4 linked regions of the Elephas maximus indicus genome follow. The protein of the gene in region 4 interacts with the protein of the main gene of each other region in a pairwise test. Links are inferred from orthologs where the notes say so. Each region holds a gene or a part of one and is shown on either strand. Other genes may lie near its edges. The genes, in order: EPB41L3, TNFAIP3, FAM53C and YWHAG.

Region 1 (7,606 bases), on a different chromosome or scaffold from region 4:
TAATTTATGCACCAGTGTGTTCCCTTTTCTGATTCTTTGGCGAATAGCATTAGTTAGAGTCTGAGAGAAGGTCAGCTATATCTTCGGCCAGTAGAATTCAAGCTTGCATGCCTGCAATGAGAAGAAAATCCACCATTCACTACCAGGAGCAAGGAGTGTAGATTAAAAACACAACACTGGTTCACATCCCAAGTTATTAACTTTGAAAATATCTGAAGGACCTTAGGAAGACCTTGCATAGACTCTTTCCAAGGTGTCTGTGGATGAGGATAGAATGGGGAGGACTCAGGAGAGGGCAGCTTCCCTGTAGTCTTGGAGGGCTATGTGGTCGGTACTGACGACTGGCTCATTTGTGGTCTTGGTAGGCAGGGCTGTTATGATTGCTTCCAATGACCATTAGGCACCTACCCTCATCCTACCAGCTACTGATAAACCATTTGCTGTCGAGTCGACTCCAACTTCTGGTGACCTCGCGTGTTAGAGTAGAACTCTGCCTCATAGGGTTTTTGGTAGCTGATTTTTCAGAAGTAGATCACCAGGCTTTTCTTTTAGGGACCTTTGGGTGGACTCAAACCTCCAACTTTTCTGTTAGCAGTTGAGTGCTGATGGAACGATCAGTTTCTTGAGTTAATAGCTGATGGTTCTATTAAATTTGCCGCCTTTATGAAACTTTACATCGGTTGTTTGCTTATTCATTCTTTCCTTTGAAGATTGGGTCTGCACAGGGCAGCCACATAGTTTCAAGCAGCACTTCGATGGCGACTTTGGATGGGCCTGATTAGTAGTGTACATCTGTAAGCCAGAGGTCCTGGAGGCCTATGTGGACCTGAAGATCACAGGGTCCTTGCGTAAGCTAGTAGCAGACGGGTTTTCCAAGGTGACTGTTTCTGTGGAAAGCCCATGATGCATGAGCTTTCAGTCTGGGGTGTTCCAGCTCCTTGAAAATGTATTTTATGTGATTTTATGCTGTGAAATTTCTTACCTCATAGAGCAATTATTGTAACTTGTAAGACTAACAATGGCTCCTAGAAATTTTTTTTTTAACTTTTATTGTGCTTTAAGAGAAATTTTACAAATCAAGTCGGATTCTCATACAAAAATTATAACACCTTGCTACATACTACTAACTGCTCTCCCCCTAACGAGAGCACACTCCTTCCCTCCACTCTGTTTTCATGTCCATTCAGCCAGCTTCTGACCCCCTCTACCCCCTCATCTCCCCTTCAGAGAGGAGGAGCCCACATAGTCTCATGTGTCTACTTGATCCAAGAAGCTCATTCTTCACGAGTATAATTATATATCCCATAGTCCAGTCCAATCCCTGTCTGAAGAGTTGGGTTTCGGAATGGTTCCTGTCTTGTGCTAACAGAAGGTCTAGGGAACATGACTTCAGGGGTCAGTCTAGTCTCAGTTAGACCATTAAGTCTGGTCTTTTTATGAGAATTTGGGGTCTGCATCCCACTGCTCTCCTGCTCCCTCAGGGGTTCTCTGTTGTGTTCCCTGTCAGGGCAGTCATTGGATGTAGCTGGGCACCATCTAGTTCTTCTGGTCTCAGGTTAATGTAGTCTCTGGTTTATGTGGACCTTTCTGCCTGTTGGGCTCATACTTATCTTGTGTCTTTGATTTTGTTTCTGCTGAGTCTCTATTTTTTCCTTGTATTTTATTTTGATGGGTAGGATTGTTATTCTCCTTTTTGGTTACCTTCATATTTACCCCTATTTTTCTAAGTTTAAATGTAACTTTTATTTCTTTATATCTCCTTGTCTTCCTCTCCATGTGAAAGATCTATGACTACGTTTCTTAGTTCCTCTTTGTTATTTTAATGTTGTCTTCTTTTACGTAATGATTTTGCTGTTTCCCTGTTTTGAGTGTTTTTTTTTTATCTTGTTTTATTTTTGTGATTTCCCTGTCTGGGTTAACATCTGATTGCTCTGTCTAGTCTTCTAGTCTTGGGTTGATACCTGATATTATTGATTTTCTAACCAAAGAACTCCCTTTAGTATTTCTTGTAGTTTTGGTTTGGTTTTTACAAATTCCCTAAACTTCTGTTTATCTGGAAATGTTTTAACTTCACCTTCATATTTGAGAGACAGTTTTGCTGGATTTATGATTCTTGGCAGGCAGTTTTTTTCCTTCAAGGCTTTATGTAAGTCATCCCATTCATTGCCTTTTTGCCTCCATGGTTTCTGCCAAATAGTCTGAGCTTGTCCTTATTGACTGTCCTTTGTAGGTCACTTTTTGTTTATCCCCAGCTGCTCTTAAAATTCTCTCTTATCTTTGGTTTTGGCAAGTTTGATTTTAATATGTCTTGGTGACTTTCTTTTATAATCTACCTTATGTGGAGTTCGATGAGCATCTTGGATTGATATCTTCTCATCTTTCAGGATATCAGGGAAGTTTTCTGCCAAAAAATCTTTAACAATTCTCTCTGTATTTTCTGTTATCCCTCCCTGTTCTGGTACTCCAATCACTCGTAGGTTATTTCTCTTGATAGAGTCCCACATGAGTCTTAAGTTTTCTTTATTTTTTTAAATACGTTTACCTGATTTTTCTTCAAATATATTCGTTCCAAGTGCTTTATATTCAAGGTCACTGATTCTGCCTTCCACTTGCTCAGTTGTGCTCCTGTGACTTTCTGTTGAGCTGTCTGGTTCTGTAATTTTATTGTTAATCTTCTGAAATTCTAATTGCTGTCTCTCTATGGGTTCTTGTAGCTTACTAAATTTTACACTATTTTCTTAAATAACCTTTTTAATTTCTTCAATTGCTTTATCTTTGTGTTCCTTGGCTTGTTCTGCATATTGCCTGATCTCCTTCCTGATGTCTTGAAGAGTTCTATATATTAATCTTTTGAATTCTGCATCCGGTAATTCCAGGAAGGCACCTTCGTCCAGGAGATCCTTTGATTTTCTGTTTCGAGAGCTCATTGAAGAGATCGTGGTCTGTTTCTTTATGTGGTTTGATATGGACTGTTGTCTCCGGGCCATCTATAAGTCATTGTATTAGTTTATTTTATGTTTGCTTACTGTATCCTAGTTTCTTGCTTTGTTTTGTTTTGATATGCCCAAATGGGTTGCTTGAGTGAGCTACCTTGATTATTTTCGCCTTTGGAGCTCTGATATCCTGTCACCACATGGCTAGAGCTCTTATCAGGTAAATGAGCTTATGAGTTCATTCACTTTTCTTGTGTGGATTCAGCTCAGGTGTCTGGGTAGCTGGTCATCAAGTGTGTGGTACAGGCTCTGTCCTACCATCTTAGAGGGGTAGGGGTGTTTGGTGTAGGTACTGGTATCTAGTTGCAGCAGGGGTCATGCTCTGAACAAGGCAGGGGGCTGAGAACTGTTCCCTGAGTGTCTGTGAGGAAAGTGTGTCCCTGTTCCCTAGAGCATACAGGTGGGTGGATTCTGCAGATGGACCATGGGCACCCAGTGCTTTTGTTTGTAAGGACTCGGAGGTACCCATTATCCTTAGGCCTCTGTCTCAGGTGGCTGGGTGACCTGAGTGGAGCCACCAGTCTTTAGACCCCTGATGTGGGTAGGTGAGGACCCTATTAATAGGCAAAGCAGAGTCAAATATCAAACACCCACCTCTCTACCATACAGCTTAAACAATTGCAGTCTGCCATCAAGGGCCTATTGTCCTCAAATCAGCCCACACAGTTCCATGCAGGGGGGAAAGGTATTCAAAGTCCACGGATCATTTATGCCTGGACAGGAGCCACTTCTGTCCTGAGCTCCCCTTGGGTGGTGGAGCTGGCAAATTATCTTTTCCCCCAGTTGTGAATTTATTCCTTCTCCAAGGCTGGGAGCATGGCTCAATGTGCTCAGATTGGCCTCTCTCAGGCCTGGGGAAATCACCAGCCACAGAAGCCGGCCAAGAGCTGGGGGCACAGTAAAATATACGCAAGTACTTAGCTTTTGCCGAGAGTGCCGTTCTTCCTTGGCTCTGGAGGTGTGAGTAGGCTGTGCAGCTGGCTGCTTCTCCCTGGGGAAACTGCGGCTGAACGCTACTATCAGCCCACTGCTGCTGCATCCGGGAATGGTGCCTGAGGGATCCCGACGATTCAGGTCTGGCAACTCCTCTTTGTTTCTGAACCGTCTCTTTCTCCCTCTGCCTCTCAGACTGTTTTCTAACTTTGCCTTTGATATTCAGGGCTCCTGGCTTGTCATAAATGTAATCGTTTCACTTGATTTTTTGGGTCTTTGTTGTAAGAGGGATCACCAGAAGCATCTGGCTATTCTGCCATCTTCATCTCCTAGAAATTTTGTGCTATGTAAAAAATTTTTTTTCTGGACTTCGATTTAAAAAAAAAGATAATAATACTACTTCTTTAGTCTTTTCTTTGAAGAAGCCAAATTCTGTGGTTCTGATCTGAAGCACCTCTAAGTTGGGTTATACATTCTAATCTTTGTTGTTGTCTAATTAGATTTATTTTAGTTAAATCCTTGGTGGAATATGTAACTCATTTTACTGAGTTTTCTGATTATTATATTTAGTCAACCTAAGTCTTTACCTTGAAGCAGTTTTTTTTTCTCTATTTTAGTCCAGTCTTGCTTTAATTATTTTTATGTTCCTATACATTCATACAACTCTTTCATATCATCTTTCTGGAAACATCTATTGCATATTCAACTGTGGTTTTTATTTGTGAGTGTTTAATGAAAAGGTTAAAGAGAGATCCCTTTGGATCTCTTATGAATTATCTACCCTGTTTTTCTACAACTTACTCCATAATCCACCATGTCTTGGCAGTGGGGAAGTTTCTTGAAAGGAGGGAACTCTTATCAGCATGCTTAGTTTGTGGGTAAGTCACCTTCATTTGTTGGTTTATTCCTAAAATGTTTTTTCTCTCTCCCTTTTTTGTCTTCCTGTCTCACTGCTTCTTGGAACATGGAACATGGACCTGCCCATCTTCTGGAAAAATGTTATCTTGGGGCTTTGGAACATGAATAACATGGGTGAGTTCTGAATTTAATGTTTAAGCTGCTGATTTCCCTCTTTGTGGAAGAAGAAAAGTGCCAAATGCAATTGTTTGATGGAAAACTATCTTCCCGCACCCTGTGCTGTGTGCAGGCCTTGCCATATGTGCCTCTGTTCCAGCTGATCCTCTTGCATGTGAGGGAGAAATCCTGAGTCGTACTATTAGCAGGACCCAGACTCAAATGAAACAAAGATGAATTATTTTCAATGACAGAAGTTGCTATTTAAACCCTTGCTGTTGGTTTTCTTTCTTTCTTTTGGGTTATACCATCTTTAATAATAGTTCTTTACGACAAGCAATTTGAAAATACACCAGTGTAGCTTGAAACGGAGTTTTTTAAGGCTGTTCAGCTGTTTCTATAAATAATACACTTCATATCATCATATTTACCATTTATGACAGATAAAAATGTGATTATGTTTGTGATGTTGGCATTGTTTCTAATATCAACCCACCAGAAATGGTGCGTAATTGAGGGGTTTACATTAAATGAGTCATGAGTCTTCTCAGGCCCATTAGTCTTTAATAGATGTTATCACCATTCAAGGTAGCAAAACTGTTCAATATCAAATTCCAACTTTTTTTTCTGAAACTGACCAATTATGATGTCCTGTGCTTTTGCATTCTGCGTGAAGGTTCAGGCTTGGGAAAGAAGGTTGTACTTCTGCTGGTGGAATCCTTGCTGTGGAAAAAGGAGGCTGGATAACAGGCAGCCTTTGACTACAAAAAATATATACTTTTAAATACATTTTTTTTCTGGCTCCTGAGGATGTGGGAAACAAGTGTGGGGGAAAGCCGTTGAATGGCATAATATTATAGAAGAACTGGTTCCATACTTTTTATGCTTTTATTAAAGTATTTAGTATGGCTGACTCCTGGAAAAAAAGAAATCGGTCGAGATATTTCCTTAGAGAGTCAGTGTTTCGATTATCAATTCCACTTTTATCTTGAATCTTCTTCTCAATACATTTCAAACTACCGTGTCACTGTCTTAGCAGGCTGAGATGGCGGGATTTCACTTGCTGGAAGCAAAGACATTTGTTGTTGTCCTCAGTTATTTTTGAAATTTCTAAAATTGTATTGAATATTAGCATGAAATTTGGCATTGATGTTTGTGCGATTTTCTACTCTGGTGTAAGTGATTAGAGAGTCTTTATCTTAGATGATTTAGTTACCCATAAATATCCTTAGGAATGTGTGTCATTTGAGTTTAATCTGTTGAGCTGTGAGTTGTTGATTTGACACAATTACCACCTAATTAGCTGTTTTGCCTATTGGGTTATGTTATGATTCATCAGTTCCACATATAAAATTTCCTTTCTGGATTCAGGTTGAGTGTTTTCCTCTGTGCTCCTTCAGGTCTTTTCTTCTCCCTCCTTATGAATGATGACCAACTGCACGGTCATCCTGAAATCTCAGTTTCTCTTCCAGTAAGAATCGGTAACCAGAACCTAATTTTTAAAACTGATCATGAGCCGAGTTTTGTGAATCTTCTTTCTGCCTGGGACCTAGGAAATCTTCTGAAGGTAACACTTTATTTGTGAGGTGCTCAGGAAATCTTCAGAAACCTCTGATCCTAAAAATAGGAAAGTGCAAACAAAGATGTTTACTACTACTTCCCAGGCAACCTTGTGTCTGGGTCAGTGTGTCTTCCCACCAGCTCTCCGCCCCCTCTCTTTCTATGGCCGCCTGCTATTGAGGAGTCTTTTGATTTGGGGGTTATTTGCTTTTTTTATTTGTTTGGTTTTGTTTCATTTTTGGGTGGTGGGTTGGGGGAAGCTGGCTGTGCAGCCTAAATAGTTACTGGTTTGGCCAGTACTTTTTTTCTAAAAACAAGCTGGTAGATTCATCGTATTGACCTGGTTCAGTTTCTGTGGTGTGCAGAACTGCAGAATTACCGTCACCTTCACGTTCGCCATCATCTTCATCACTCAGTCTCTATCAGGTGCTGGTTTATGGACTTTACATGAGTCTCATTTAATTATCATTAATAACCTCAAGATACAGGAATTTTGTACCATCTAATTTGTAGGAAAAATTCAAGCCTCGAGTTGCAATAGTGAAGGATTCCATGGGGAAAATATTAAATGATCCAGGAAGCATAAAAAAAAAAAGATGGAAGGAATACACAGAGTCATTATACCAAAAAGAATTAGTCGATATTCAACCATTTCAAGAGGTGGCATATGATCAGGCACCGATGGTACTGAAGGAAGAAGTCCAAGCTACTCTGAAGGCATTGGCGAAAAACAAAGCTCCAGGAATTGATGGAATATCGATTGAGATGTTTCAACAAACAGATGCAGCGCTGGAGGTGCTCACTCATCTATGCCAAGAAATATGGAAGAGAGCTTCCTGGCCAACTGACTGGAAGAGATCCATATTTATGCCTATTCCCAAGAAAGGTGATCCAACTGAATGTGGAAATTATAGAACAATATCATCAATATCACACACAAGCAAAATTTTGCTGAAAATCATTCAAAAAAGGCTGCAGCAGTATATTGACAGGGAACTGCCAGAAGTTTAGGTAGGTTTCAGAAGAGGACATGGAACCAGGGATATCATTGCTGATGTCAGATGGATCCTGGCTGAAAGCAGAGAATACCAGAAGGATGTCTACCT
Region 2 (7,842 bases), on a different chromosome or scaffold from region 4:
AAGTAGATTCCAACTCGCTGTTCAAATAACCGGAACTAATTTATCTCAGTTAACATCCACCTTACTGCTACATCCACCACTGTACACCACTGGTTCCTAATGACACCCACTTCAGGGTTTTCTGTCATCGTGTTCGATCTGGTCATTAATAACAGCCTCCACAGAAACAGAAATGAAACTAAGTTGAATCTTTATATGCATGATGTTAGTAAGATTACTGTGCCAAGTGTTCCAGCCAAGTGTTGACAGGAAATTAAGCCAGAATTCACAGAGGGAATGAATTTTCTGACATGTGTTGGATTTCAGCATATCATGCTTTCAGGCAAAGTGAAATAAGAAGAGCTGTGCTTGGCATTAAACCAACTGCCTCCCAGCCAGTGGCAGGACTTTGTTCCTATCACTAGTGACTCAGTGACTCATTGGGTTACCCTAAATAAATCCCTTCACCATGGGGTTTTCAGTTTCTCCATTCATCCCAGGTAATCCCTATAAAGGATCTGAGGTCTCTAGATAAGAAGTGACATTTCCGTGGAATTTGGTCTTCATATGATACGAAACCTATGGCCTCGTAATTGCAGCTCTCAGCGTAGTTATAGCCATAAAGGCTTCTATTGTATTCTCAGAAGTAGCATTTGTAGCACTGATAGCTGCTGTGAGAGTACAGGCAAACATTACTCTTTCAGAAATCACAAAACTCAACCAAGATTTATTGCAATTTGAAGCAGGATTCAGAGCTACCCTGCAATAACTAAACTGCCAAACTTACATAAGGCTGTTTCAAAATATGTTTAATATGGATCTTGCTTTTCAATATAATGCAATTCTGGGAAAGGGAGACAATTGTACAACTGACACAAAACATCTGATTCTAGTTTGACCCATGGTTGTCATCTCTTGGAATTTTGTACACTCTCTGAACGACACTATTGCTGACTCTTGATTAAGGGAAGGCTCACGAGCTGCTGTTTGACCTGACCTAGATTGGGTCCCCTTCCCGCATGTCAGGTCCCTGGGTGGCAGAAACAACTTGTGCTCGACTGTTAGTCAAAAGATTGGCAGTTCGAACCTATCCGGGGGCACTAAGGAAGAAGGGCTGGTCAATCTGCTTCTATAAAGATTACTGCCAAGAAAACCCTATGGAGCAGTTCTGCTCTGTAACACATGAGTTGGAATCAATTTGATGGCGCCAGATTTGGTTTGGTTTTCTCTGTGTCACATCTGCCTCTCTTTAGCCAGGTTTCTCCCGCTCCCCGCTATCCTGGGCTGCACCTCTTTTTCATTATTTGGTATAAGCATTGGAGTTCCCAGCGTGGTGCAAACGGTTAATGTGCTCAGCTGCTAAAGGAAAGGCTGGAATTTGGAGTCCACTCAGAGGCACTTGGGAAGAAAGGCTTGGTGATCTACTTTGAAAAAATCAGCCACTGAAAACCTACAGAGTTCTACTCTGACGCACATGGAGTTGCCATGCGTTGGAATCGACTTGATGGCAACTGGTCTGGCATAAGCATACAGGCTGCAGGCACCGTCCCACAGATAGTATCTAATGTCAAGAGGTTATGTGTGCCCACTACACGAAGTTCATGACATATGAATGCTGGCAACACAGTCAAAACAGCACGTACGTCATGAACTCTCCAGAGCACTGCACATAATGAGAATTCCCCTTTCCTCTCTCTAATAAGAACACATTTTTCTCCTACGTGTCTACCAGATATTAATAAGCATTCCTTCCCCTTTGCAGAGCTCTGTTCATCTTGATAAGGTCTGTAGCAGAAATCAGAGTCCTAGCAGAAATCAGAGTCCTCTGCAAGGCTTTTGAGCACTCTATATCTCCTTGGTTTCGTTTCATCCCACAAATCTCCTTAAATTTTATCTCCTCTTTCCCATAGTTTCTCTTTCTCACTCTCCCCTCTTCTACCCTTTCTTTCCAATACTCCACCAAGAAAATCTTCACTGGTCTTGCCAACATGCTAAATACTGGAAAAGGGAAAGCTATGTTGTCAACCAAATGGAACCTAAGTACACATCTTCACCGAGCTCATGGCTCTAGCTTAGGGGTTAGGGGTGGGGCAGGAATGAATGAGCTCAGTAGTAGAATTATGGAAAATAGAGGTAGGGAACAAAACTGAGGGTTGCAGACCACTTCTGGCTGCTATTACCTCATCACAAATATTGGCAGACACAATGGCAAAGTGGCTACCTTGGGCCAGTGGGAAGTGGTAGCCGTGAATCTAGCCTTTTAGGCTTGTTCTGTCCTTTTAGGTTACTCTTCGTTATTGCATTCCTAGCTCATCAAACCAAGGAACAAGATAAGAGGCAGAGAAGGATCAATGGAAGTTAGGAGGAACAGAGTCCCTGGGTGATGCAAACGGTTAACACACTCTATTGCTACCAGAAAGGCTGGAGGTTCGAGTCCACACAGAGGCACCTCAGAAGAAAGGCCTGGTGATGTACTTTCATAAAATCAGCCATTTAAAACCCTACGAGCACAGTTCTACTCTAACACACATGGGGTCACCACGAGTCAGAGTCAACTCAATGGCAACTGGTATATCAGGACACAGAGCAGGTCAGAGCCAGATAAAGAGAACAGGCAAGGTGAGAGTGGTCTGAGGATTAACATCCTAATAGGATGTTCTTTTACACACATCATCTTCTTTTATCATCTCAACAAGCCCAAGAACTTTCCTGAGCGTGGAACCAAGGCCTACCTGGCTCCCAAGCCCACGTTCTGCCCAGGGTCCTTGTTTGCTCAAGTGCCTACAGTGTGTGTGGGAGGCAGGGGGCAGGATATTCACAGGCCTGGGCTCCAAGACTTTATATCTTGTGGGATATTTCCTGAAAGGCATAGTCTAATACTTAAGACTTAATAGTGTGGGCTTTGGAGTAAGACAAGCCCAGTTCCAATCTCAGCTCTGCCACTTAATTGTTGTGTAGACTTTGGGCAAATTGCTTAAGCTTCTTAAGCTTCGAATTCTCACCTCCAAAGTGGAGTTGTGAGGTTTAAATGGCAGAACACATTTCAAATATTTGGTCTTGAGCCTAGCGTGTAGTAAGTACTCAGTAAAATCTGTTGTTGTTATTATGTTATTACATTACTAGCTTGACTGTTCATTGTTTTGAGTACTGGCAGCTGAAAACTTCGCGAAAAAGAAGGTAACAAATACTAGGTTTGGAGCTGGAAAAAAATGCCAACGTTAGTTTAAAATGACCAGAGCCAGCCTTGGGACTGTGACCATTACTGACTCTCTGCTTTAAGTCTCCTTTTGCCCAAAAAGTGCCACCTACCAGCCAACTCTTGTTCTGGCCTCTGCAAATCTATACCGGGGAGAGGAAATACTTTTCTAATTCAAAACTTGAGATACGTGGCTTGACAAGCATATTTAAGTACAGTCAAAAGGCTAATGGTAAAGAATATTTCAATCTGACCCTAACTTGGCTATTTTAGGAAGGAGGCCTATCGGGCACCTGTGCTTTGAGGGCCCCAAATCCCACTGCCATGGAATAGATTCTGACCCATAGCGACCCTATAAGACAAAGTAGAGCTGCCCCATAGGGTAACCAAGGCTGTAATCTTCCTCCCGGAAAGCGACTGGCTGGTGAACTCAAACCGCTAACTTTCGGTTCTTACAGGGCATCAAGGTATAAGCGCCCTAACGTCCCTCCCTGCACAATTTACGCACCTCCATCGCTCAGGTGGCTGACATCTTTACGTGAAAAAATGCAGTTACCACGCAAATAGCACATGGGGGGAATAACAAGGTATCTTGGGGCGATCTAATTATCACGACTTCTAAAGAAGACACACCTAATGAGGCCTTAGGAGGGCATGGCAAGGTCAGTAATGGACTAGAATCGATTTCTCGACGGAATGTGATGCCACCCAGGCGCTTGACGTGCAGAAATGGAGAAGGGGAAACCGCGCAAGTGCCGGGGTAGGGGCCGGATTGTTCTGAGTCCTAATTTTATCCAAGACTGGCCTTGTCATGGGATACTCAAGGCCACAGGGCCGCAGGCAGGGACAGATTACCCAAAAACAAAGTACGCAAGGGCTTACTTGTGCTTATTTACCAATCCTTGGTGCACAATTTCAGCTGCTTTTCACCATATTAAAGACGTGGTGAAACCCATGTGAAATTGTGCACCAGGGCTCACGACGTAAACACAAGTAAACCCCTGCGCACCTTGCTTCCTGGTTAATCCGCGGCAGGGAATGTCGCCTCAGGCCCGCATTCCACCCAGCCTGGGGTCGAGGTAGACAGGAAGGCTGTGGAGGGACCCAGGGCGGGTACTTCTTGTCTCCAAGCTCCGCTGCGGCCAGGTCTTGGGCTCTCCCCTAGTGCTCCCCACGTGCGCAGCCCAAGCCTCTCTACCCCCCGGCTGCGCAGCTTGCGGTCCCGGGCGCCAGGGTGGTTTTCAGGGTTTTCTTCCTCTATGATTTCCCTTCTTCTTCTCCACAACTGATGATTTTCTGCAGAAAATCTGAGAAAAAGAACCTACTTCATTTCCAGTTCCCATCACCGCGATTTCCACATGGATGTGACGTTGGGCCGAGCTTCCGAAATGCCCAGGTGACTCACGCGGGGACACCCCGGGGCGGGGCGCAGGAGTTTCTCCGCGCGGCCGGCCGGCGGGGCGGGGCGGGGCGGGGCGGGGCGGGGCGGGGCGGCCGGGAGGGCGGTCGGCGGGCCGGGCTGCGGCCGCGCGCTCGCCTCCTGCGCCCTCTGGCGGCGGGCGACTCTTCGGCCGCGAGTTCCCGGCGCCGGGCCTGGCGTCACGTGACTGGAAAGTCCCCGGGTGGAAATCCCCCGACTATCCGCAAGCCTAAAACAGAAAGGGAAAAGAGAACTGCGCAGTCTGCAGCCTGCGCTGTGGGCCAAGTGCATCCGAGCTCGCGGGGGCGGAGCGTCGGGAGCCGCCGCCGGGAGATCTGCGGCAGCTGGCAAGATCCACACCCCCAGCCTGCCGGCCAGCGAGCGAGCGAGTCTCAGTCAGCCGTCCATGGGGTGCTGCTTCGCCCTGGCCTCAACGCGCTTGCCCTAACTGGGACTTGGGACTTGGAAGAGGATCGCACTCCAGGGAGAGGTAACCGTCGCGGCACGAGCTCATCTGGGGCAAGGGCTATGGGTGCGTCTTTGGCAGCGACTGTCGAGCTTGCTGCATCTGCTTGGCATTGGTTTTGCAGTGGTTCTGGAGGGAAGTTTGTTGGCCGTTTGTGCCCATTCTAGGTGTTGAAATGCTAGGACTTGAGGTCGCCGAGCCAGATGTTGGGGTGACAGCCCTGGATCCCCCATCCAGCTGATCCTTTGCAGTAATGCAGAGAACTTGAGCTGCAGCTGACTGCTGAAGTCAGCTTTGTTAGATGGGTCATTGGTGCTTTGCTCCTTTTTCTGTCTTTTTTGGAATTAAGCGTTGCATGCTCTTGGCCACGTAGACCTTGCAGAACCACTGTGACGTCTGCCGAGATTATGCAGAACCAGCCCAACGGAGGTGGCAGGTCGCAGGGGCAACAAAACTCAGCCTGTGTGGGGGGCTTCGGTGAGCTAACCTTTCCAGGGACAGCTTCCAGACAGTGTTCTGTGCAGGAGAGGTGGGGAGGATGGGTTCTTCTCTGAAAGTTGCAGCAGTGTAAGAAGTACGCTGGAAGAAGTGGGTTGCCCGTCTGTCTTTTGGGGGCCCCAGTTTAGAAGCCATCTGCAGGCCCCCCGCACCAGTCACTACCCCACAGTCAGACTGTCACTCAGCCCAGGTCGCCCCACATCCTGCCACCTGGGCTCTCAGGAAAGCAGTGGTATTAAGTAAGGAAGGAGCTCAGCTCATTTTGAGACCACTTTGTTTTCAGTTCTCCCTGCCTCTGATCTTCCTTGGAAAGCTGGTCTGGTCAAGTGTCTCTGGGCAGCATTTGGGAGAATTGTTATTAATTGATTAAAGAGCCTGCTGGACTGCAACTCTAAATGCCCCTGATTATTGAGCAGCACAGTTAGTGCACCATTCTTACTGTCTAAGGTGCTTCTTTAGGTTTTGCAGTTCTTTCTGCAATGTTTGAATTTTTTGACAGGTACTTTCCAAAAATCTGATGAGATGTTTGCTGATAAATAATTCATAAATTTCCACACTGCAGACAAAAATGTCTGCCTAGAGTGGAAAAATAAAACCAGGGGGAGAAGACTTTGAGCAATAATAAGTTCTGTAGAATCTCATTGCCTGTAGTGACAAAAATTGGGAAATTATCTTCAAATAAGTCCAAGTGAGGTCACACAAATGTTAAAAAAAAAAAAAGGGTAATGTTGTATTCCTTTGACCTATAAGGATATTACAATCATATGACAGATACTTATATTTATGTGTCTTGCGACAGTTGACAGCTCTCGCTATTTTAGATGTTGGCTGAAGGATCTTTAGGTTCAGAAAAGCAAAATCGAAGAGTCAGAAAAGCACAAAGAGGCAATACCTAGCTTGTTTAAAATCTTACTACTTACTGCTTGCCTGTTTCCATGGAGAGTAGCAGGCACTGTAGCCACAGGTGTGGTGGCATCGGACAAGCAAGAGGCAAATATTGGAAGACTTAGACGCTAGGCAAGGCTCTGCACTGGGTAGCTGTAGGACCTTGAGCAGCGGGTCCCTCTGCTTCTGTACCTTAGCTGCAGACTAAGGTAGTTGTATGATTTCAAAGAGGGGAATAAGGTCGTATTTGATTTTTGGCCCTTGCATCAAGCGCAGTGCTGCCTTCAGTAGGTACTCACGTAGGATTTGTTAAATGTATGGATGAATGAATGACATTGTGAAAGAAACTTTTGACATGCTGCAAGGAGAATGTGTGTGTGGTATTTTTGTCCCTTGATTGCACCCTGCAATTATTCTGCCCAGCTCACGTGCAGGGGATTGCTTACATGAAAGGAGAGGTCACCATCTGACCAAGAGATTGACTCGTCCCAGGCTCCACTTGACAATCAGATGAAAAATCCTGATCCAAAAATACCATCAGAAAACTCCTCAGAAGCAGCCCCTGCCTAGTCCAACCTCTCTTCTTTGAGCGAGCCATAAGGATTTAGAATACCTTGTCAATAGCTATGAGGAGCTTGGACCCTTTCAGGAGTGGCCTCCTGAAAACCTACCTAAAATCTTCTTTTCCCTCTTGTATGGGTTTAATGTCTTTCTCAACTGGAGGCTTGTCCTTGCAAATAGTTTGGGGTTGAGAATGGGATGAATTGCTGCCAGGAAACTTCCTAGGAAATATCTTCGTGCTTTGAAGTCAATTTCTTCATCTTTTTGGAAATTAGCATGTGTAGGAAGGCACCCTGGCCCTCCCCCCAAGCGCTCCACTGGCAAGATCCAAGTTTCATGGATTCATGTCATTCCACTCTTTTGCCACGGGTCGTAGATGCTGGTCTTTGCCCCTGTTCCCCTTTCACTTGTCTTGTGAGGCCCCCTGGCTGAAAGTTATTTCCTTGTCTGCCTCTAAACTTTTCATCTCTTCCCACTAGTTTGAAGATTTTAGGGTAAAGGAGACGGTGGTAAGTGTATCTTGAGTGTTGGTTCCTGAAGGACGAGGATGAAATTTGGTTGGCCATCAAATCAAAATAATTGAGCTCCTGTCTGCTTTTGGGAGTGCAGAATGTATTTATTCGATTATTGCGCTGGGTCTCTTTATTAGTCCGGGGTCATAAAAATTAGTGGAAAGGCTCTGAAAGACCTCCGACCATTCTTAAAAATGGCCGTGCAGCTTGCTGAGAATAGGCTTTTTCATTGATTATAAAACACTCCGTTTTAATTCTTCATAGATGTTTTTCTTTGGGGCTAAAAAGGAAATATTAGCAGCAGCCTAAGTGACAGCATACAATG
Region 3 (7,144 bases), on a different chromosome or scaffold from region 4:
GTCGGAATCACTCCACGGCAACGGGTTTCCTTCTTTTTGGTTGGTGGCGCAATGGTTAAGCGCCTGGCTGCTAATGAGAAGGTCGGGGGTTTGAACCTAAATCTTTAGGCAGTCTGCTCCCTGAAGATTTCAGCCTAAGAAACCCTGTGAGGCAGTTCTGTTCTGTCATATAGGGTCGCTATGAGTTGGAATCCAGTCGACAGTACACAACAGCTGATACTAAGTTATTCATAATTTGGGGGATTTGCTTTTAAATAATGGGGTAGGGAAAACCGGTGTGTATACATGAAACAAATTGGCCATGAGTGATGGGTGATTGGTACACGACGCCCACTAGTACTTGTCAAAGTTTAATGTGCATTCTAACCACCTGGGATCTTGTTAAAATGCAGATTCTGACTCCCTAAGTCTGGGTTGGGGTCCAAGATTCTGCACTGCTAACAAGGTCTTAGGTAATGCTGATGCAGCTAATCCTAGGACTATACTTTGAGTAGCATTTAAAAAAGAAAAAACATTGCTGTTGAGTGGATTCCGACGCGTAGACCCTACAGGGCAAAGTAAAACTGCCCCATAGGGTTTCCAAGAAGTGGCTGGTGGATTCAAACTGCCCCAAGGCATTATGCTATTCTCTTCACTGCTGTGTATTATTTGAAATTTCCCATAAAAGTTTAAAATAAACTTGTAAGCTCTTGAAAATGCAAGAGCCCCAAATACTGATTCAATAGGTCTGAAATGGGGCCCAGGAATGATCAAGGCCCCCAGGTGCTACCAAAGCAGATGGTTCGCAGACCACACTTTGAGAAACATTAAGTCAGAAATGCAACTTTATCTTTGAGAAAACAATAAGTCAGAAATACCACATTTATCTGGTGTCAGAATCTTGGTGGTGGTGGTGGCTGAGAAGCATTGTAGTCAGCTGGTTACTCCCTGATACTCCCTTCATCTGTAGAATCTGCTTCTCTAGAAAGGAGATGTGTGAGGAGTCTTTGTCTTCTGGGATACAGATGGTGAATGCAGGAGTCAGCACAGAGTCACGCCATGCCAGGTGAGTTTGCAAATCAGGCTGGGAATTAAGAGAGTATGGGATGAGTTGGTTCTGCTTTGGTGACTATAAATCACACTTTGTGGGGCACTGTGTACTTCCCCACAGTAGAGACATATGACATTGTCCTGCAGCGACGGCAAAAGCAGATAGATTATGGCAAAAGCACACCTGGCTACCAGGGCTTTCTGCAGCAGGTCTCCACATGAGTCTCATTGTGGGGTGGTCACAACAAGGGTGCCCACCAAGTTGCTTTGGTTCAGAGGATGGAAAGATACTAGGATCTGAGTGTTTTGAATGTGCTCACAAAGTTGCAGAACTACTAAATTTCTTGTAATCTAGCCCTAATATTTCCAAGGTTTTTTTTTTTTTCAAGTGGAACATACTTGGTCCATTGGCTTTTTTAAAAAATTGATTGTGGTGAGATATATATTTCAACAATTTTCTGTCTACAATTCACTGACATTAATTACATTCACCATGTTGTGCAACAATCATCATGTTTCCAATTTTTTTCACAGTCTTTAACAAAAATTCTGTATCTCTTAATATCCCCGATTTTCCTCTCCCACCCGCCCCTCCATGTGACTTTTTAAAGCTCTATCTGTGTTTCCTAATGAGGTGGTTTTCCTTCCAACCATTTTTACCATCGTCTTCTTATGCCTCCTCTTGACTTGGTAATTGCAACATACTTGCCTAAGTACATGTAAATTTACACACACTCATAGAAATTAAATGCATGAAAATGAACATTTGTTTTAAAGGGAAGTCAAATATTTTATGTCTACCTTGATTTCCAAGAATATATCTAATTTACCCTTTCCAGAAGAAAGGCTATTAGTGAGGCTGAAAGTTTGGTGTATAATCTGAAGATCTACTTTTTCTATTTGATTGAGGACACTGGTCTTACTCATTCTCAGGGAATTTCTAACTAGGCTCCTGATTCATTGTGATAAGTAGTGAGCTGTGCCCCCTGCTATACAGGGCCCCCTTTCATATTGACCTCAGCCTGACCCACATTTGTTGTTGCCAGGGCACAGCGACAGCCAGGGCTTCAACCTCAGACGCCAAACAAGAACAGACAGTACAGCCATCGCTCCTGGGATGCCCAGAACAGGCACTGGAGAAGAGCCTTGCATTCCTGGGATCCGCCCAGTCAGCCCCTTCAGGGCAGGGCTGCTCTGGGGTGTGCTGACTATTTCTGGTTCCTTCAGTGAGTGGTGGGCTGAGCCCCACATCTCCCCACTTTGCAGAGGTTTATCTTTCACTGCGTGAAAAGGGAGGGTCTGAATAAAAGGCATGTTCCTCTGACTCTGCTGCCTTCCTAGACAGGGAATGGAGAGTCTCTTAGAGCCAATGGACTCCACCCCTTTGGACAATCTACTGGATGACTGGCTCCAGGCCCTGAAACTCTTCGAGAATCTGGATGGAGACCAGGTAGTATACTCTGCTGAAACTCCCTGGAGCAGGGTCAGAGATGAGGTCTAGCCCAAGGGCACAATTAAGACGAAGTTCAAGGTAGCATCCCAAGAACAAAAGGAAGCAGCTGGAAAAAAAAATAACAGGTCATGACTTAAAAACTTGAGAACTAAGAGAAGGGTATAAGGAGATTTAAAAGGAGCCCTGGTGGGACAATGGTTAAGTGCTTGGCTGCTAACCTAAAGGTTGGTTATTCAAACCCACCCAGTGGCTCCATGGGAGACAGTCTGCTTCCATAAAGATTACAGCCTTGGAAACCCTATAGAGCAATTCCATTCTGTCACATGTGGTCACTATGAGTCGAAATCGACTCGATGGCACCTAACAAGAAGGAGATTTAACTATAGTTAGTAATGGAGGTGGAGCTTTGGGCTATACTGAGTGCTATTTTACCCTTGATGAAAGAGGGGGTATAGCCTTCCTTTGAGGCCTGAAATCTGCTCAGTTTTTGTTTGATTTTGTTTTTTAACGTCTCAAATTCTTTCAATGTTTTACAAGTTAGCCAATGCTAACTTAACTTCTTTTACTCAGTCATTTAACTTTTGTAAGCACGGATAATTTAAAAAAAAAAGTGGGGGGTATATAGCCTAGTGCTTTACATAACCAGGGCTTTAGAGGCTCATAATTGGTTCTTTGCCCACCACTTGGGCACTCAACCTCTTGGGCTGTTTATTGTCTCATTTGGTGATTGTAAGCAAAAATGAGAATACATTATTTAAATTATATAGCACCGTGCCTGGCACATATAAGTGCTTCACAGCTATTACTGAAAACAGTGTCTCCTATGCTTCATGGTCCCTGCCTCTGCTTCTTTTTCACCAAGGGGAAATGTGCATGGCAAGGTATATCCCCCTCCCACTTTCTTATAAATACCTCACTTTTCCTTTATTCTTTTTCAGTTAGCTGACTTTGTGGCTCCTGCCTCCTCCCTTCCATGGCTCAATGAGGAAGATCCCTACAATGACTACTTTCTAGCTGAACACAGCTAATTTACCTGTACCACTCCTGAGTGGGGCACAAAATATTTACAGAAAACAGATGTCTTTCAGGGGACTTACTTGCATTACTACCACTTTCCAATCAATTAGAAATCTAAAACTCTACCCTACAAAGGGATCACAACCCAAAGGCATTGTTTAAAACCTCTTCTTTTTCCATCTGTTTGCCTGTCTCTCTGAACCATCTTTGATGCTAGCTGAGACTCAAATTTACATAAGAGCCAGAAACCATCTAACTGTTCCCCAACCTCTTCACCTTCTACTACTTTCAGTCTCTTTGAAAAGAATTTAAACTTCGGCTGAGGTGGGAGGTGGTGGTGGTGGGAGAGAGTTAAAAAGAAGGTGGTTTTCCTCATCCTCAAGAGGAAATAGCGCCGTCAACATCTTTTCCCCATCTGCTCCCTCCCTCCCTCTCGGTCTTAAAAAAAAAAGTGGTCCAGATGTAACCACTGTACCCCTCCACACCCCCCACCCCCGCAAGCAACTGAACCGCCTATGATGTCATAATCACAATCCCATTACCTCATCCTGATGGGGCGGGGGGGAGAGGGAGGAGAAAGAGTGAACAGCCCTAGGCCCTCCTCAGCTTTACAAAGTGTTCTGGCTGAAGGCTAATTACAGAATCTAGTGGGAACGGCCCCGCATCCGTTGTAAATGCTGCGTTTATAAGGTTCGAGCCGATCCAGCAGCTGGAAGAGGGGCTCCAGGGACTCAGAGCAGGCCCTAATCGGCACTTGGACTACACGTCCCAGCAGCCTTTACGCTGCGGACCGGTCCTCCGCAGCAGGAAAGGGGATTCCTTTACAGAGGCGGCGGTATAAGGCGGGACAGAAGAACAGGTGAGAGGAGCCTCGGCTAATTCTGTTACGCGGTCCGAACTAAGTGGGAAGCTGCACTTGGGCCAATGGAGAAATGGAGGGCGGGGGCGATGGCTTTGTTTACCTTCGTCGGGTACGGCTTCACCCGCGGGTTTCTAGATATGCCTCCAACTGGGCACGTCCACCTTCCGCAATATTTGAGGGGGGGTTACCCGATAGGGAGGCAACCATCCTCAATCCTAAATCAAAGCGCCAGGCTCGTTCCTGACAGCGCTATCCGAGAAAGACTTTGAGAGGGAAACGACGCGGGGCTTAAGCCCCAGCGGGCGATTCAGGAGGATTCTTTGAACTGGTGCGATCCTCCCACTCTCCTCAGGGGCCCATTGGTTCGCGCCGGCGCCTTTTAAGGGCACCGTGGGGCGAACCGAACGCTCAGAGCTGCTCCGGCCGCGGCCCTGGGAGCTGGGGGAGCTGCGGTAGGTGGCGGAGGGCAGGTGGTGCTGGGGCCTTGGGGCGGGCACCTCGACCGTCACTCCTTCTTCCCTTTCTCCCCTCCCCCAACCCAGCCGCCCGCGCGGCCGGGCTTCTCAGGCCGCCTCCGCGGGGAGAGCACGGGACCTGGTGGGGGAGGGGGTAACTGAGTGCTAGGTCCCAGACCCTCTCCATCCCCTGCGTCCTGAGTACGCTTCCCGAGGCCAGATGATGGAAGCTGAGTGGGAAGAGGCGAACGACAACCCCCTTGAGCTAGCCCTGGCCCTCCCCACCCCCGCCCCGCAGGGGCCAGCGGACGCCCTATGCCCCACCCCGCGGGGACAGGCAGGGCAGCAGAGGGAGAGGTGGAAGATTGGAGGGGGCCTACCTTTTGCTTCTTCATCGGGGTTGGGGGAGGGGTGCACCCCACTTGTCACCCTTATCCCCACCAGAGCTATATGGAGGAAGAGCAGTCAGGTCCCCTCTTACCTGTGCCTGCACCTCTCTGCCTCTCATGTTTTTCTTTGGTCTCCCCCAGAGGTGTGGGGCTGGGACCTGGGGGGAAGGTCCCCAGGGGATATGTGATTCTTCTTCCCCTTGGCTTGACTTAATCTTAGGTTCGAGGTTTCAGCACAACCTCAGCATCCCTTAGGCCCGAGTGTCACTGGTTACTGCCGTGTATGGGAGATGAAGTGGGGTCCGATCTTTATTTTAGGGGGCTTGTGGAGGAGGGAAAGCCTGGACTGAGAGTTGGACCTGGTGGGGTTGTGAGGAGAGTCTAGAGGCCTGCTGCTCAGTGAAGGGCTGATCCCTGTGCCAGTTGTTAAGCTGAGAAGTTTTAACTTGTTTCATGAACGTTCAGGGCTATATCTACCCCTCAGACATACAAAATGGAAGGGGAACGAAGGCGGCCAAGAGAGGGCTTTTTAGATACTTTTTTCAAAGCCTGCCTGAGAAAGAGGAGGCCCCTCGCGGAGCTGGTTTGCCTTCTTTTGTGTCCTGGTTTGATTCCTTATGGCTTCCGTTCTGTTCCCCCTTTCAGCCTGGCCTGTTTTAGGAAACTCAGGCTGAGAGTATCAGTTGCGTGGTGGTAGTTGCATTGTTCCAATTACCGCTGTGTGTGGCCACATCCCAACAATTAAAATGCAGGAAAACACAAAATCACTCTCTTGATCCCAGAGAGGGCTGGGAGTTTGCTGTTTGGCCAAATGCCTCATGAAAAGCTTGAAAGAGTTGGCCTCACTCCCTGCTCCTCATGGCCGGTCAGCCTGAGGCCTGGGGTCTTTGGGGTAAAAGCCTGCAGTTAGGTTCCCTCTCCGATTGATCTTTGGGGGCAGAGTTAAGAAATCAAGAGCAGAAGTGATACAAGCGTTAGCTTCTGCCACAAGAACGTAGTGTAAGCAACTAAAGTGAGTTCTCAGGAAACTAGGACTTTGTTCAGAGCGTTAATAATTATGCATGATAACGACAGTTAACTATAATGATGATTGACTTCTCTGGCACCTTTTTTCCAAAAAACTCCAACTACATTCACATGTTTTCCTTTGCTCTTCCTTGTGGCCTCTCTCTGAGGTGGGAATGGAATAAAGATGATTCTCTGTTTTTTGAAAAAGTAGAGAGTGATTTGCCCCAAGGTCACAGAAGAGCCCTCTTGGGCTTTTGTTGGTACACAGCCAGAGAGACAGACTCTATTGCCTTCTTCATCTTAATGATATCATCGCTTCTGGTATCCCGAGGCTCTGCAGAGTAACAAACGAGGGGTGAGAAATGGCAGTCTATGTGGATTCCTGATTCATACAGGCCAGGTGGTATGCTTTTGTACATTATTCACGTTTCATGTTATTTCCACCCTGGGTACAGATTAAGATTATTGTGCCCATTTTACATATGGGTAAACTGAGGCCAAGGAAGGTTAAATGATTTGCTAAAACTGTCAGAGGAAGCTGGATTAAGATTTAGATTTTTTTGATCCTTTGTTCTCTCTAGGAGCTGCTTAAGAGTTTACCTGCTAACCAGAAGGTCACAGTTTGAATCCACCAGACGCTCCTTGGAAACCCTGTGGGGCAGTTCTACTTTGTGCTTTTGGGATGCTATGAGTCGAACTTGACTCTATGGCAAGGGTTTTTTTTTTTGTTGTTATTGTTTTAGCAAATTTTATCTGCACATTCTGGTGGACTGTCTTCCTGCTTGTCATTTTTGGGAGTGGGCAGAATGGTACCACTGTGACACTAGGTTAACCTCCGAATTTCCCTTGAGCAAGGCCCCTCAGGCAATTGTGTGATCTTGAAGCCTGTTCTCTGATGAGTTGGTTTGCTTCTGACCAGAAATTGACTCCG
Region 4 (7,890 bases):
GAGTGACCTGCCCTGTGCCCTTGTGGCAGGTCAGTCACCAGAAGGCAAGGCCTCTTCTTTCCTGAGCAGGTGCCAAGGGCAGATCCTCGTAGCCTGGGCAGGGAAGGACACCTTTATTAGCGGGAGTCCCGAAGCTCTGCCTGGGTTGGAATTCAGGCTCTGTCAGTCACTGGCTGTGTGAACTTTGGCTGGTCACACAACCTCTCTGAGTCTCTGCTTCCTTGACTAAAAAACGTGGTTGATCCTGAGTCTCTCAGCCCTTAGAACTCGACCATCTCCTAGGTCTGCAAGCACAGACCCCTGTTTCCACAGCTGAAGAATTCCAATAGCCTTCCATTTTAGAAGAGGAACATGCCGAATCTAGAACTATGACTCATCACATTTAGTTTAATTTCAGTAGGGAAATTAAGACCCTCAGAGGGGACAAGCCTTGCCCACAGAGCTGGGAGCAGGCAGAAGCCAGATGCTAGTTCTCCACCTCACTTCTCTAGATTTCTTTTAGCAGAACTAGGCAGTAGAGGAGGAAACCAGGATGTTAAGCCATTTGCTCTGTGTAATGTTGCCATGCCTCTGAGGCAGCCCTCTAAACAGCCAGGGGCTGCTGGGCAGCTGTAGCTTTAAGTCTAGAGTCTTAAAAAATTAAAAAGGAAAGGAGGGCAGGGCCAGCTTTCTCCTGCACAATTAGAGGGAAGCCTCGATATGGAGACTGTAGATGTCATTCCTATTTGGCTTTGCAGCATCATTTTCTTTGCATCTGTTTTATTTTTTCCCAAGTAGGTTTGGCCTGGGTTGTTTTTTAAGTGCGTTGGACTGGTTGGGAAAGGAACTAGGTGGAAGAAGTCAGAGATGTAGCCCAAAATGTGCCACGGAGTTCTGAGATTTAGCATCTAGAGCCAAGATCAGTGACATGTTTAATTCACAAACTGACAACCAGGATTGGATATAAGGGTTCACTCCCACTGGCCTCGGATGCCCACGGCAGAGTGGTTCATGCCTGGCCTGCAGGGAGGAAGAGAAAGGAAGAGGAATAACTTGGTGAACAGTCATGCAAGAGCAGAAGGAAGTAGGAGGGTTTATTCACCAGCAGGATTGCAGTTTGCTGGGTGGTGTGGTAAGAGAAGTGGGGCCAGGCTAGATCCAACGTTGGAAGATGGGGAGAAGAGAGCTATTTCTAGGCTCTCTCCCCACTCAGTCCATCTCCTACACTTCTGCTAGCACAGTCTCCCCAGAGTGCATTCATTCATTCATTTCACATGTTCTATGTACTTACTCTGTGCCAGGAACTGTGTTAAGTACCAAGGATTCAATGGTGCTGAAGAAGACAAAAATGCAAATCTGATCATCGTTTGCACTTGTTAAACTCACTCATCGGCTTCCTATTTACTTTGGAATAAAGACTTAACTTCTTAGCCTGGCATTCAGGGCTTCTCGTGTTCGTGATTACCATCCCAGCCCCATTACCTATCACCTGAGGGTACCAGACACATCAGATTCTTTGCCTACCAATAAATATGCCAGGGAGGAACCTGAGAACCTGCCTCTAAGCCTTGCTATTTGTGCCCTCTGCCTGCTCTTTCTTGTCTAATCCTACATATCCATTAAGGATCAGTGGGAAATGTCACCTCCTCCCTGGAGAACCTTTTTAGAATCTTTTCCTGCCTAGCCTGAAAGAATTAAAAAAAAAAAAATTATAGAACTTAACACATTCTAAATCCCTTAAGTGATACCATGGTGTGGCAATGGCGTAGTGGGGGTGTCATCCAACCGCTTCATCTAACTTCACAAGAGGAGAGGAGAATCAGTATCAGCACCAACAGCCAAGGCTGATTGCTATGAGGTGGAGGTCAGACATATCTCCTTGTCCAATCTTTTTACCAATTCTGACACCAGCCGTCCCTCCCATGGCACTCTCTACCTCTCCGTTGGGTTCAATGATTCGTTGCAACGGCCACACAGAACTCACAGATCGTACACACAGTTATGGAGTTTATTAGGAAAGTTTTGTTGTTGCTGGGTGCCGTCCAGTCAGTTCTGACTCACAGCAACCCTATGTACAACAGAACAAAATACTGCACAGTATTGCCATCCTCACAATTGTTGCTATATTTGAGCTCATTGTTGCAGCCACTGTGTCAATCCATCTCTTTGAGGGTCTTCCTCTTTTTCAATTTTCAAGTATGATGCCCTTCTCCAGGGATTGGTCCCTACGTAAGACGAAGTCTTGCCATTTTTGCTTCTAAGGAACTTTCTGGCTGTACCACTTCCAAGACACATTTGTTCATTCTTTTGGCAGTCCCTGATTTATTCAATATTCTTCGCCAACACCATAATTCAAAGGAATCAATTCTTCTTCGGTTTTCCTTATTTTTTGTCCAGCTTTCGAATGCATATGGGTCAGGCGCACCTTACTCCTCAAAGGGACATCTTTACTTTTGAACAGTTCAAAGAGGTCTTTTGCAGCAGATTTGCTCAATGCAACATGTCATTTGATTTCTTGACCGCTGCTTCATGGGCACTGATTGTGGATCCAAGTAAAACGAAACCCTTGACAACTTCAATCTTTTCTCTGTTTATCACGATGTTACTTATCGGTCCAGTCGTGAGGATTTTTGTTTCTTTATATGGAGGTGTGCTCTATACTGAAGGCTGTAGTCTCTGATTTTCATCAGTAAGTGCTTCAAGTCCTCTTTGTTTTCAGCAAGCAAGGCTGTATCGTCTGGATGTCAAAAGTTTGGTAGTCTTCCTCCAAACCTGATGCTGCATTCTTCTTCATATAGACCAGCTTCTCAGGTTATTTGCTCAGCAAATAATTTAATAAGTATGGTGAAAGGCTACAATCCTGAGGCACACTTTTCCTGATTTTAAACCACACAGTGTCCCCTTGTTCTGTTCAAATCACTGCATCTTGGTATAGTGAAGCAACAGGTTACAATTCAGGATCAAGAACAACTCGGGATACAGTTCTTTGGTCAGGACGGTCTCTTCTCAGATCAGAACAGTCCCTTGGCCCCTCAGTCTGGCCTTTGTCCTGCTCGGGCAAGTGTTACAAAGCTGTTTTGCTCTGCCAATAAATGCCCAGGGCCACCCTACTCTTCAGGGAAGCCTCTGGCCAGAAGTCACTCAGCACACCCACTGTAACAGCCTTACTCCATGGGCCAGGAAGCCCACTGCGTCATCTGATCACCTGGTTCCTGCTGTCTTGTGCCGCTACCACTCTCGCTGCTGCTGTGCTGCTGTATTTCACTGTCTTCCATGTTAGAGCTCCTCCCTATCTCTCTCCATGTCTCCCTTTAAGCTTAGCAGAATGGCAAAATTGACCAATCCCCTCATTAGGGCTCCATACACCTTATTTGCATGGTCCCACTTCTGCAAGGGTTCCATGCACCTTACTTGCATTGGCAGCAAGCCGTCCAATCCTTTTAGTGGTCTACAAGCACTTTATTTGCATAGTTCCACCCAATCATTGTGTGGGAGTCACAAAGACTATGGCTAAAAAAAAACCCAGTGCCATGGAGTCATTCCGACTCATAGCGACCCTGTAGACTATGGCTAGAAGGGCCACATTAAGTAATTCATTGCACGAACGTGCCCTCTTCCTCCAGCATCCTAGGGCCTGGAATATTCCCTCACACAAACTCTTTCATTCTAGGTTCTCATAACACAACATTTCACATCATCTATTAATCATTTTCTAACATACTTTACGTATTTATTATTTATCTTGTCTTTTCTGTTTCTATGTCTAGAATGTTAGGTTACACATGGGCAGAGATTTTTGTCTGTTTTGTTCACTGTTGAAGACCATTGTTTAGAATAGTGGTTGACACATAGTAGGTGCTGAATAGGTATTTGTTGAATAAATTAGGTAAGTAAAATGTGCAGTCAAAACTATGGGTGTCTGTGAGACCTATATGGAATCTCACTGAAGAGAACCATATGGGAAAGAATCTGTCAGCCTAATCTCGGTGTGTATGTCCCAGGAAGGGAGAAGGACTGGGCAAACTCAGATCATAGCCCAGGGTTAGGCACAGCATAACTGTGAATTGAATCTTGAGTACTGGGCCCTGGAGAGGAAGAAGGAGCTTTCCAAGGGTCAGCCTCCACACAGTTGCATCTTTTCTTAAATTAACCAGTATGCTGGGCTGATATTTGTCCTTCCTTATTTTCACCTAGTCGTAACCAAGAACTTCAAGGTGGGCATAGGGAGCTGGAACCTTGGCGGGGTGGCTGATAGTCCAGGGTTTGGCCCCTTAACTCAACCATCCTGCGGGCTGGCACCACCCCGACAGTATGGATCTACAGCGGATGCGCCCTATCCCTTTCTCCACTCCCCTCTCTTTTCCCCCCCAAAGGCCTGTTGCTTTATTTCGGAAACAGAGACCCTTGACCCCTCCCCTCATAATTTCCCGAAGAATACCCGTCGGGCCATGAATCAGCACTCCCTAGGATTGATGCAGTCCTCATCCCCGCCAGGGGTCCCCAGTGACTGGCAGATTAGAAACCTCCCCAATCCTCTACCGCCCGCGCGCTACGTCCTCTGGGAGATGTAGTCTTGACCGCCCCTTTGTCCTTGGTCTGCCCAGTGGTTCGCCCCCGCAGGAGCACGAACTACAACTCCCAGGGGCCGTTGCGCCGCGGGCCCGGCGGGGCGAGGGTCTGAAGGGGGAGGGGGGAGTCTGGAGGTGCTGGGGCGAAGGAACAGGCGTGGGGAGGAGAAAGGGGAGCGTTGCGGAGCAACGGGGAACGGGCGGACGGTCGGAAGACCGTGGCTAGTAGAGCCGCGGAGCTGAAGCAGGAGAAGCTGACGGCGCCAGGGAGGGGCCTGGGCGGGGTGCGCGCGGCGGGCGGGACCCGGCGCGTCACGCGGCGTGGGCGGGGCCGCTGGGGGTTGTCCTCTCGCCGCACGCACAGCAGCCGCAGCCGCCTCGCGCCGGTCCCGCGGTCGCAGCTCGAGCCGCAGCCTCTGCCGCCTCAGCTGCTCTTTTCGTGGGTCGGTCCCTCCGGCACACGGGCTCCCGCCGCGCCGCAGCCGCCCTCCAAGCCTTTCAGGCCGCCCCGGTCTCCTCATCCGGCCCGACCCAGCCCGCGAAGATGGTGGACCGCGAGCAACTGGTGCAGAAAGCCCGGCTGGCCGAGCAGGCGGAGCGCTACGACGACATGGCCGCGGCCATGAAGAACGTGAGTTTCCCCTCCCCTCGCCCCGCCACTCCCTGCCCTTTCTGAGACGCCTTCATTCGCCTTAGAGGCCCAGGGACTAGTCGCCTGTCGCGACTGCAAGGTGGGTCGCCCCTCCTCGCTTAGGGGGCCGTGGAGGGTCCTGATCGTGAAAAGCACCCGGGTTGTGACGCTGTCTCTCATCCCCGTCCCTGGGAGCTGGCGGCGCTGCCTCCTCGGACTTCGGGGCTCAGACCGGACCGGGGCGGGGTCTTCCGGGACCGTTCGCGGGCGCGGGGTCTCTGGCCCCCGCGTGCTCCGGGTCTGCTGGGGACCCGAGCGGGGCCGTGCGCATCCTTTGTGCCCCACTTCCCCTCCTCCCAGCCTGGGGCGTGGGGGCGGGGGACCGCATGGATGCGGTTCCTCTTTCTCTCCCTGGTGTTTGGGCGGCGCCTTTCCCATTCACTCAGCAGGTTTACTCTTTTTAGACCCCCCCCGCCCCCCATCTCCTTCCCCTCTGCCCCTCCTGACAGATCCTTTACAATCTCCCCCAGGAAAAATTTTAGGCTCTCCTGAAAACCTGGGGTCAATGGTGCAAAATCGAAACCTTCTTGATCACGTTTTTCTTAACAAAAGGCTCCTGTTTGTTCATTCCTCAAAGCAAGTCCTCCCTTTGGGGGGGGGGACATTTGTCTCACTAGCTTCTTCATTAATTGTTCTCAGCATGTCATCTGCATTTCCCCTAATGTTTTGTAATGAAAAGGGTAGGTATTGTTTTTAAAATAAAAGTGGTGGATGTAGCAGCCTGGTTAATTTGTGACATATGCTTTTTTTTTTTTTTTTTTTTAAATTATAGGCACGCGTATTGAAATTCCTGTAAGTTGGAAAAAAAAAATTCTGATCTGATATTGCAAACAAAGCGGTGGTGGGAGGCAGTATCAAGTCATTCCAGAAGATTCTGCGTTTGTCATATTGCAGAGAGCCTAGACTGGGTGGAGGCTGGGAGGGGTTGTTTAAAGGGGGAAAAAGTGTTTTTTTAAAAAAAAATTTTTTTTAGCTATATCTGAGGCTTTTTTTTTTTTTTTTAAGCTAGTGCACCCTCACGCTGATGAAAAGAGAATAGTGATCTCCAGTTGTCGCGTTTTGTTTGAGATGCAGATTTCTGCCTGTATTGCACCATTTTGTCAGTAACACCACATTTATCTAACGGGCTGTCAACCCGCTTGAGATGAGAGGAGGGGGGAAAGCATTGAACATTATTCAATATGGAAAAAATGATCTAATCATTTAGGTCTTACACTATCTTAATATTTAACTTTCTACATTATGTAACAAAGATAATTAAAATGCATCTCCAGTTTGAAATGGATGCACCTTGCATGTTAAATCTTTTTAATGAAGCAGTGTAAGTATAGTAGATTAATTCTCGAGTAGCTAAACTAGTTCACAAAAGATGACAATTGGTGATGCCTTTATATTTAAACCAGTTACATTAACAAAAAATGTTATCATTAAGGAAGGGATTTGATTCTGGGAATTGGGAGTATCCTGTTGCTTAATGTATTGCCACAGTTATTATTTTACAACATTTTAAAGATCAGATGATATAGGTTGCATTTTTAATGGATGCCAATGTTGAAAATATCTTTGGTTCATGTTATTTAGGCTCTTTTAATTTTTCCATATTTCTAGTTTCACAGGAAAGCGAGTGACCTCGCACCTATATCCATAGCAACCCAGTGATGTCACACACAATGACACAGAGGCTGCAATGCACCTAAGGGCTGGTAGGGAGTATGCAAATGGCATTTGTCCAAGGTAATGCAGACGTTAGTTGATAAACCTGGTGGGATTGAGCACTTCACCTTCCACTAAATAAAAATTGATTTGCAACGGAATGGTCCTATTGGTCCAAAAAATAAGTATTTCATTTACCCTTAGACATGCAAATCAGTGACCTCTAGATATGCTTTGTTCACTTTATTTCTCTCTCTTTTTTTTTTCAGACGAGTTTATCACATCCATCCTATTTTAAACACTCATCTCACTTAATTAAAAAAAATTGGGCAACGATGGAATAAAAGTATGAATTTAACAAAGGAATATGTTTTATGATCGTAGTGTGGGGGAGGAGCTTTGTACTGGGGTTTTATTGAAAATTAATAGCTTGGCAGATTTTGATGAAAAACCTAAAAAAAAAAAAAAAAGACTTCCTACTGGGTCATTTTTAGTAGCTCTTAGAGGATAAGAACCCATTACAAACCAGTTATTAAATTCATTTGAGGTTGGGCTTTGGGAAAATTGTCTTGTTGTATTTGTGCTTCTGCTACTTGACAATATGGAGGAAAGACAGTTTGTAAAATAAAACAGACCTATTTTCAAACCTGTTTACTGTGACTTTGAGGAAGTAGGCTGACCTCTGGCCCTCATTTTCCTCATCTGTAAAGTGGGGCAATACCTACTTGAAAAAGTTGTGGTTAAATAAGAAAATGTAGGTGCTCAAAAGCGGTAACTATTTATGAAACTTTGTTTCTTGTTTATAAAAATGATTTCATTATGGAGAATTTAGATAATCCAGGAAGGTATGAGGAAAATACTCAGTGCTGTCACTCAAGTGAGCTCTCTTTGAAGGTGGAAATTTTCCTGACGCTAGAGGGATTCAAATTTATTTGTCTTTATGAAATTATCCCAGTAATAACAGTGTTGGGATCTTTGTAGAGTGTGATAATTGTATGT

What was found.
Region 1: the proteins of YWHAG (region 4) and EPB41L3 interact in binary tests that used the Homo sapiens proteins (3 or more experiments, as listed by UniProt). The link is inferred for Elephas maximus indicus from reciprocal best matches to the Homo sapiens genes YWHAG and EPB41L3.
Region 2: the proteins of YWHAG (region 4) and TNFAIP3 interact in binary tests that used the Homo sapiens proteins (3 or more experiments, as listed by UniProt). The link is inferred for Elephas maximus indicus from reciprocal best matches to the Homo sapiens genes YWHAG and TNFAIP3.
Region 3: the proteins of YWHAG (region 4) and FAM53C interact in binary tests that used the Homo sapiens proteins (3 or more experiments, as listed by UniProt). The link is inferred for Elephas maximus indicus from reciprocal best matches to the Homo sapiens genes YWHAG and FAM53C.

Annotation. Positions count from the first base shown.
Region 1 is NC_064829.1:23,598,156-23,605,761, reverse strand, and holds the start of EPB41L3 (band 4.1-like protein 3), read left to right. Parts: upstream 1-4,593; 5' UTR 4,594-4,897; coding exon 4,898-4,958; intron 4,959-7,606. UniProt on the Homo sapiens protein: Tumor suppressor that inhibits cell proliferation and promotes apoptosis. Modulates the activity of protein arginine N-methyltransferases, including PRMT3 and PRMT5.
Region 2 is NC_064819.1:207,624,456-207,632,297, forward strand, and holds the start of TNFAIP3 (tumor necrosis factor alpha-induced protein 3), read left to right. Parts: upstream 1-4,837; 5' UTR 4,838-5,085; intron 5,086-7,842. UniProt on the Homo sapiens protein: Ubiquitin-editing enzyme that contains both ubiquitin ligase and deubiquitinase activities.
Region 3 is NC_064820.1:151,427,151-151,434,294, forward strand, and holds the start of FAM53C (protein FAM53C), read left to right. Parts: upstream 1-4,136; 5' UTR 4,137-4,358; intron 4,359-4,405; exon of another isoform or gene 4,406-4,813; intron 4,814-4,827; exon of another isoform or gene 4,828-7,144.
Region 4 is NC_064830.1:94,202,771-94,210,660, forward strand, and holds the start of YWHAG (14-3-3 protein gamma), read left to right. Parts: upstream 1-4,883; 5' UTR 4,884-5,091; coding exon 5,092-5,178; intron 5,179-7,890. UniProt on the Homo sapiens protein: Adapter protein implicated in the regulation of a large spectrum of both general and specialized signaling pathways. Binds to a large number of partners, usually by recognition of a phosphoserine or phosphothreonine motif.